2 linked regions of the Oryctolagus cuniculus genome follow. Each later gene encodes a partner of the first gene's protein in a complex. Links are inferred from orthologs where the notes say so. Each region holds a gene or a part of one and is shown on either strand. Other genes may lie near its edges.

Region 1 (3,805 bases):
TATCTAAAATGGCTGGGCTTATATAAAATTTAGTATTCAAATGTAAGTACACAGGACTGGTGTTGTAGCACAGCAGGTTAACACCCTGGCCTCAAGCACTGGCATCCCATTTGAGTGCCAGTTTGAGACATGGCCGCTCCACTTCTGATCCAGCTCTCGGCTATGGCCTGGGAAAGCAGAAGTTGGCCAGACTCCTTGGGCCCCTGCACCCACGTGGGAGACACAGAAGAAGCTCCTGGTTCCTGGCTTCAGATTGGCGCATCTCTAGCCGTTGCGGCCAATTGGGGAGTGAACCAGCAGATGGAAAACCTCTCTCTCTACCTTTCCTCTCTCTGTTTAACTTTGACTTTCAAATAAATAAATAAAATATTTAAAAAAAAGTAAGTACACACTCTGCTTCAGAAATAATGTCTCAAACCCAACATTAAAGTGTGTTTTCCCTCAGAAACAGAATCAATATAAAAACAGCTTATTAAATTCTATTATTGTCATTTAAAGTCAGTGAAAGGAAATGCATAATTTGATAAATGGAGCTGGGTTAGCTATCTTGTTGTGTGGGTAGTAGGAATACACACCAATACATTTTAATCATACTCACACTATCATGCACCCAAATGAACTCCAAATGGATTAAATATTTAATATAAAATATGAAGCCACAAAAAAAACCACTAAGATAAAATGTGACAAGTTACAAAAACTTAAGGAAAGAAAGTTTCTAAGCACAATGGCAAAATAAAAATCACAATAGAAATATTATACTACATAAAAAGTGATAATTTCTACATAGTAAAAAATACTTGACAAAATCAACTGTAACATTATACTTCACTTTTAAATATACTAAGTAATATAAGATACATCACTGACTTAATAGTAGTTTTTCAAGGAAACAAGGGAGGAGGGGGAACACCATCACATTTACACTACATGCCATTGTAAAATGAATCATGAGTGTCAGTATTGGGTAAAATGCATGTCTTAAAATCAACAAAACATGATTATATAAGGCAGAATGGTTTTCTTTTATAGGGAGAGCCACTGATCAATCAATGAAAGGAAAAATAAAAATTTCTACAGAAAAATTAGGATACTAAAAGAGTTCTCCTCATACACAAAGAAAACAATCAAAACCCATAGATTTGAAAAACTACAGTTTTACTTGTAAACAAAGAAGTACAAAATAAGTAAAAACATTCTTCATCAAATTTACAAAGACTAAGAAAAATGGTAATGCCTAGTAACAGTGGGAGTTTACAAACACAGAATTTCTCATTCAGCAACAGGGACAGTTAAACTGGTGTCATCTTTCTGAAAGGTAATCAGGCAATCCTCATGAAACATCTTATCATAATCATACTCCTTTACTTAGTCAACTTCCTTCTAGAACTTTATCCTAAGAAACAACCTGATAAGCATATGAAGACATAGATGTGTGAGTGCCTGTATGCAAATGAAGGGTCTCAAAAAGCTTCTAAAAAGTGTTTATTAAGAAAAAAGTAGGCATGGATTTAAAAATTTTTGCATCAAAATAAGCTTACTTTTTAATTCTACTTTTGCACATACTTTATGAAGTACCCTCAGAGTTATATAAAATACCACTGTAGGGCCAGCGTTGTGGCAGAGCAGATAAAAGGTACTGGTTGGAGTCCCAGGTGTTCCACTTCCAATCCAGCTCCCTGCTAACAGCCTGGGAAAGTAGAGGCAGTTGGCTCAAGTGCTTGTAGTATAACTGAAATTTCTGAATGACAGAATTAGATTTTTTCTCTTGTTTTGTATTTTCCAAGCTTTCTGTACTGGACATCTATAATTCTTACAAATAAGTGTTCTCCAAGTGCATTTTTTCAGGAGCTCATGATAAAACTTCAAACTATCAAAAAACTAAAATTGCACAAATGAAAACAATCTATTTACTTGACACTACAATAACATGTCCAGCTTAGAAGCACTTTCTTTTAGAAAGAAGATTAAAAAAACAAAATTACCTTCATCCCCAAAGTGGAACACACTAAGTCAATGATGGCACTAAGTTGGTTGCTGTGAAAGTACATGGCCACCAACAATAACATCTCCCCAAATGAAGCAGACACACCTGAAGTGCTGTGAAAACAGAAAAGAAAATACAGCTTTCCAAAAAGAATGAGAAAAGCTTTCTAGCTAACTGAAACAAATCAAGTCGTCTTACCTCTCAAAGTAGGCTTCTTCTTTTATCATCCAACTTAGCCACACCACCATGAGTTGCTCCTGCTCAGGTGTACTACAGAAAACAGACCAGTGTGTTACTGGTTTAAATGAAACAAAACAGCAACTGATTAAGAAAGCATTCTGAAATAAACTTTGGTAGGAATTAGTACTTCCTTTCCTACTTTAAAATATCAAACCAAATTAACTGCTGGCTAAATCAAGCCACTGTCACTCAGATATGAAGTGGCAGTTCCAGAGGTCAAGGATGGGGATCTCTGTTTTCCACAAATCTCAACAGTCACAACCTCTCCAGGTCTTAGTTACTGCATTTGCAAAGTAGAGACACTGCACTTTGTCACATTCCTTAGAAAAGCAAGTATCTTTTGGGATTAAAATGTTAAAAACTTTATCAATAACTGATTTTTTGTTTATTTATTTGAAATGTAAAGTTACAGGGACTGGGGGGTAGAGAGAGATTTTCCATCCATTGGTTCATTCCCCAAATGGCTGCAGTGGCCAGAGCTGAGCCAGGACAAAGCCAGGGGCCAGGAGATTCATCTGGGTTTCTCACATCAGTGCTGGGGCCCAAGAACTTATGCTATGTTCTGCTGCTTTCCCAAGTGCCTTAGCAGGGAGCTGGATCAGAAGTGGAGCAGCCAGGGCTCGAACCAGCACCCATATGGAATGCCTGAGTCTCAGGCTGCAGCTTAACCCATTAAGCCACAATGCCAGCCCAATACTGATTTCATATAGAAAAAAAATCTAGTAAAAAATTCAAGCATCAAAAGACCACAAAATTTAGTACTAAAAAATAACAAGCTACTTCATCTGTTCCCTGAAAAATGAAATTTAATTTACAGAAACCTTGAGCTTAGAATTCAAAATTATAGAGTAATAAATGAGGACTAAGCATGAAACAAGAGGGGCCAGTGTTGTGGTGCAGCCACCAGCGAAGCAATATCCCATATAAGCATCAGTTCAAATCCCAGTTGCTCCGTTTCCTATTGGAAAAACAGAAGATGGTCCATGTGCTTGGGCCCCTGCCACCCACAATGACAGACCTAGATGGAGTTCCAGGCTCCTGGCTTTGGTCTGGCCCAGCCCTAGCCAGTACAGCCATTTGAGGAGTGAACCTGCAAATGGAAAACTTCTCTCTATAACCCTGCCTTTCCAAAAATAAGTAAATCTTTAAAAAAGAAAAAAATATGAGGAAGAAGAAACAAGACAGCCAGAGGCCGGCGCTGTGGCTCACTAGGCTAATCCTCTGCCTGCGGCACTGGCACCCCAGGTTCTAGTCCCTGTTGGAGTGCCACATTCTGTCCTGGTTGCTCCTCTTCCAGTCCAGCTCTCTGCTGTGGCCCGGGAAGGCAGTGGAGGATGGCCCAAATCCTTGGGCCCTGCACCCGCATGGGAGACAAGGAAGAAGCACCTGGCTCCTGGCTTCGGATTGACGCAGCGCGCCGGCCATAGCGGCCATTTGGGGGGTGAACCAACGGAAAAGGAAGACTTCTCTCTCTCTGTCTCTCTCTCTCTGTTTAACTCTGTCAAAAACAAACAAACAAACAACAAAAAAAAAAAAACACGACAGCCAGGAACTCCTGACAGAGAAATGACAGTCCCA
Region 2 (4,394 bases), on another chromosome or scaffold:
ATTCAAAGCTTCTCTCACACTCAGATACAAGTGCTATACAGAGACAGCAGGTCAAGGAAGCTCTGTCCTATTTTCCAGACAGCCTTGTTTTCCTTGATGGTTTGGAGATTTAGACTTTGTTTTTCTAATTAGGAAAAGTAAAAACTCTGGATTCTGGACCTGTAATTTAATTCAGACTTTCTCTTGCAATAATTGCTAATTAGAAAAAATCGTAATGTACTCAGCCAGTTATTGTGCTTCCATAAAAATCTTACCTTTGAGAGAACTCACACAATACTAGAACACAGGGTTAAGTTAAACCCTGATGCAACCAACAGGATAATTCCCTCTGCCATGTTTACTAAGATGGAAATGAAAACCACTGACAACTAAGTCCAACTTGGCCACCGCTAAAGCTGCACACCTGCCTGAGGATGGAGGAGCAGAGCAACTGAGGATGCTGAGGTGCGAGGTCTTCCTGGCCTGTCTCCCGTGAACTTTCAAGGAATGAAAACCACATTCACATTAAACTCTACAGCAAAGACTTCAGATTCTACTTCTGAATACAAATGCCTTTTAAGGGAAAAGAAACTAAGGGATATAAAACCATGCACAGTAAGTCGGAGCTTCACCTTTGTACTATGTGCATACTGTATTTTACTCTGAAATGTTCCACACTTGCACTTCACCTTAGATAGTTTGGGACTGGGCTGTTTTCTTTTTCCCCACAAGAAAAATCAACTATTTTTCCACTTTTAATATTCAACCTACCTGCCCATAGTTGTCTATGCCAGTTACTAATCTATTTAAATTTAATAAATCAAAAGCTGTCCTTAGGGATTGGCCAAGAGTCGTAAGTCCTTCAGCCTGAAGGTTTTTCAGTTCATTCATAAACGTTGCATGGTTTTCTTTCCATCCGGCCTGAAAAGAAAAACGTGAGAATTTTTTTTTCTTCCTGTAACGCTAAATGCACACGGCCAGCCGTTACAATCTGACGTGCACCATGTAGCTGCTTCACTTTGGGTTGACATGGTTGGGTTAACGTGTTAATACTGTTATCGCTGCTGAGGAAACTCTCTGCCAAAGGTAGCCGGCAAGCAACCGGCCTGCTCTACAGCTTTTGGTAGCCAGCAGCCTGCACACTTTCTAACTTCACACTGGGAAATCTACTACCTAATCTAACACTCAAAATGTGGGGATGCAAACGTCCTAGGGGCAGGCGGCCGGGAGCGGCACTTGGGAAGTTAACCTCCAGCAGCCCTCCCAGGGCGAATCCGAGCAGCCCCAGCCTCGCAGCCCCCTTCGGCGCGCCTGATTCCCCTTTAATGCAAACCGGGGCTCGGCGCGGCCGGGCCCGGCTGTCACTCGGGCTAACTTGAATAAATATCCCCCACAGTTCATTGCTGCCGCTCACGCCGCGGAGGGGAAATGTCGGCCATGTTGATCGCAGCGCCGCCGCCGCCGCCGCTGCCGCCGCGGGGCCGGGCCGGGCCGGGGAGGGGACGGCGGTGGCCCGGCGAGTCCGCGCCGCGCCGGGACGCTCCCGAGCGGGGGAGGGGGGTGGGAGCCCGCAGGGGAAGGGCCCTCCGCCCCGGGAGCGCAGCGGGTGGGGGAGGGGAGCATAATGAAGGGTGAATGGGGGGGCGGGGAGGGCGAGCGAGGAAGGAACAGGGAAGGGAAGGAAGGGAAGGGGGAGGGCGAGGGCTGTTACCTTGATAGCATAGGGCGGCTCTTCGAAAGTGACCAGCATATACCTGTCTCCTCTGCTGGCAGGGTCCCGGGCACGGAGCTGCGGGCCGGGAGGAGGAACGGGGCGGGCGAGAGGGAAGCAGAGAGGCGAGGTTACGAGGCGAAGAAGGGGCGCCCAGCGTCCCCCGCCGCCCCCCACAGTATCCGCACACGCAGCGGCCACCCCTCCACGCCGCCCCACACACACCGATCGCTCCCTACACACCAGCCCCGGGGCCGGAGCCCGGGCCCGGGCCGAGCCCGGCTCGCAGCGCCCGCCCGCCCGCCCGCCCGCGCGGTGGGGGAGGGGGTCCCGGAGCCCGGCAGCTCCCGCAGTCAGGTCCCCGACACCCCCGCCCCGCCGCCCCCAGCCGCCCTCCCCCACCCTGCCGCCCGCGGGCCGCCGGGCCGGGGTCGCCGCCCCGGGCTCGGTCAGTCGGTACCTTCATGAAGGTCTCTACCGCGCCTTTGGCCGTGTCCAGGTAGGTGGTGCCCAGATGGCTGCGCTGGTTCATAGAGGCAGACGTGTCTATCAGGAACAGTAAGATGGGCATAGTGCTGGCCGGGGACACCGGGGCCCGAGGTGGTGGAGAAAGAGGAGATGGTAGAGGTGGAGGCGCCGGTGGCGGCGGCAGTCGCCGCCGCTACGCGGGGCGGGGGAGCGCGGCCCCCGGGAGGAAAACACCGTCTGGGTCTTTCCTCCGGCTGCGGGGAGTTTCTCCCCCGATAGTTGAGAGGAAACTCCCCAGACCCAGTCCTCCCCGTCGTACCCCCGCCTCCGCCTCCTCCTGCCTGCCTGCCCGCTGGGGCGGGCGCCCGGCCGTCTGTCTGTCGGTCCGTCCCCCCCGCCTCGGGGGTCCCGTCCCCGCTCCCGGCCCCTGTGTGTGTCCCAGCGGGAGACGGGCCTGGCTCCCCCACCCCACCCCCGGTGCAGGGAGTGGGGACCTGGGAGCTGGCGAAGAGGGGAGTGGGCTGAGGGGAGATTGGCCCTGGGGCTGTTGGGAGAAGTTTCAGGGACTCCCTCCGCACCCCGGCGGTGTCACCACTTTCTCAGCCCCTCTCGCTACTGAAGCGCTTTTCTCTCTCACACTCCGGTTTTAACTCGGGTAGGGGCTGCGGGGGCTCCGCCCCCTGACACGTCCCCGGGCCACGTGACGCACCGCCCCGCAGCTCCATTGGCTAATCCCGAGGCTCTTATTAGCATATTCAAACAGGTCAGGGGCGGGGGCTGCTTGTAGGCCGGCTCTGAGGGTTGTTATCGAGCATGCGCGGAGGCGGGGCGTCGGGTGCGCGCGAGAGCGAGCGCGAGGGACGAGCAGGCGGGCCGTCGCGGAGGCGGGCTCTGGGAAGGGGCGGGGACTGGCTTCGGAAGGACCGCGAGGTGGGGGGCGGGGGCTGCGTCGGCGCGCGCAGGGCGGCCGCCACTGTGAGCCTGCGCGTCAGGGCCACTGGCCTCTCCTTGGCTGTTGGAGGTGACAGGGGTCGGAGGAAGGCAAATGGAGATTGTCCTCAGCTCGCCCTCCGAGGTCGCTGGTAACGTGGACGACCGAGGAGGGCTGAGTAAAGTGAACACACACTCGGTTAAGGGCAGGGGGCAGGCCCGCGGCCGCCCTCGCGAGGAAGGCTCGGGACCCGCGGTGGCGGGAGGAGGTTCCCGGGCCTGGGAGGGCCGGCCCAGCGCGGGCGGGCCCGGGGCGGGGGAGGGGAAGTGAGAGGTTGTTTATGACCGGGGACTAATCGCGGCGAGTCACACCGCTCCCGCTGGGGAGTGGGCCCGAGGGCCTCGCCTCGCCCGGATCCTCGGGCGCTGCGGGGGCGACGGCCGAAGGCTGAGGGCGGCGCTCGGCAGACCCGGAGCCTTGCCGTCGGAAGGGGCACCCAGAAAGCCGCCGAACCCGGGAACGGCCTAGGGAGAGACTGGAGCTTATGGATAAGTGCTTTGCTACCCTTTTTATCCTGAGCAAACGTAACTGCTCCTTCCCAGAGAAAAAGACTTTTTCCAAGCTGTTTACTCAGGGTCATAGGATATCAGTTTCAGAGTTGAAAGGGACTTTAGCAAATCATCCATTGCCCTCATTTTAAAGTGAAAAACCTGACATGAACTTGCCCAGATAACACAGTGACGGGGGTTCCCAGAACCCTCCCTTACAAGCAGCCCCTCCAACTCCAAAACCCGTGTGTGTGTGTGAGAAGCAGTCTCGGTCAAGCCCCTGCCTTACCTGAAGTCATGAATCTGCTCCGAGAAAAACAGCTTCCTCGAACTCGCTGAAAAAAATGAAGACTGCCTTAGATACAATTAAGAGACTTAATTAAGCGGCCTTTGTAGGGATAGCTAATTTGTAGGACGCCTCCCGTTAGCCTGTCCTTTCCAGATTTTATTCTTTAATCTTGAAATTTTATGTGCCTACTGATCATTTAAAGAAATTGTTCCTATTAACACAGAAGACATGTTGTGGCATTTTTTTTTAAAATCTTGAGTTTCAAAACTTCCCGATATTTATGACAACCTTGGAGATTTTTTGTTAATTTATAGTCAGGCTATTTCAGTGAAAAGTGTTTTGTAAGTGTGGACCATAGAAGAGGTATGGATACTTGTAAGAGTATTTGGACTAAAAATTATGACGGAGTACAGGTCTTGCAGCCAGTATTTGCTAAGGACCTACTGTGAAATAGGCCTGCTGGAAATA

The links.
Region 2: the proteins of INTS2 (region 1) and INTS6 are in contact, whole or in part, in a cryo-EM structure (PDB 8RBZ), measured with the Homo sapiens proteins. The link is inferred for Oryctolagus cuniculus from reciprocal best matches to the Homo sapiens genes INTS2 and INTS6. Residues at the interface, in NP_065799.2 of Homo sapiens: Ile855, Asp856, Pro857, Leu858, His895, Arg923, Glu925, Leu926, Lys927, Ala929, Leu930, Ala932, Ala933, Gln934, Ser936, Ala937, Gln940, Ile941, Glu944, Asn1010, Lys1013, Leu1014, Phe1017, Gln1018, Gly1019, Tyr1020, Pro1021, Ile1046, Ala1047, Gln1048; in NP_036273.1 of Homo sapiens: Ile484, Val486, Arg487, Ser488, Arg489, Phe527, Gln528, Val529, Ala530, Leu531, Leu532, Asn533, Phe541, Arg542, Asn543, Ala544, Tyr545, Ile547, Arg549, Leu552, Leu553, Leu556, Met559, Arg560, Asn562, Leu563, Leu564, Lys565.

The regions. Positions count from the first base shown.
Region 1 is NC_091448.1:35,558,141-35,561,945, reverse strand, and holds part of INTS2 (integrator complex subunit 2), read right to left. Parts: intron 2,258-3,805; coding exon 2,186-2,257; intron 2,101-2,185; coding exon 1,986-2,100; intron 1-1,985. UniProt on the Homo sapiens protein: Component of the integrator complex, a multiprotein complex that terminates RNA polymerase II (Pol II) transcription in the promoter-proximal region of genes.
Region 2 is NC_091440.1:70,841,078-70,845,471, forward strand, and holds the start of INTS6 (integrator complex subunit 6), read right to left. Parts: upstream 2,809-4,394; 5' UTR 2,262-2,808; coding exon 2,151-2,261; intron 2,006-2,150; exon of another isoform or gene 1,916-2,005; intron 1,769-1,915; coding exon 1,691-1,768; intron 901-1,690; coding exon 751-900; intron 1-750. UniProt on the Homo sapiens protein: Component of the integrator complex, a multiprotein complex that terminates RNA polymerase II (Pol II) transcription in the promoter-proximal region of genes.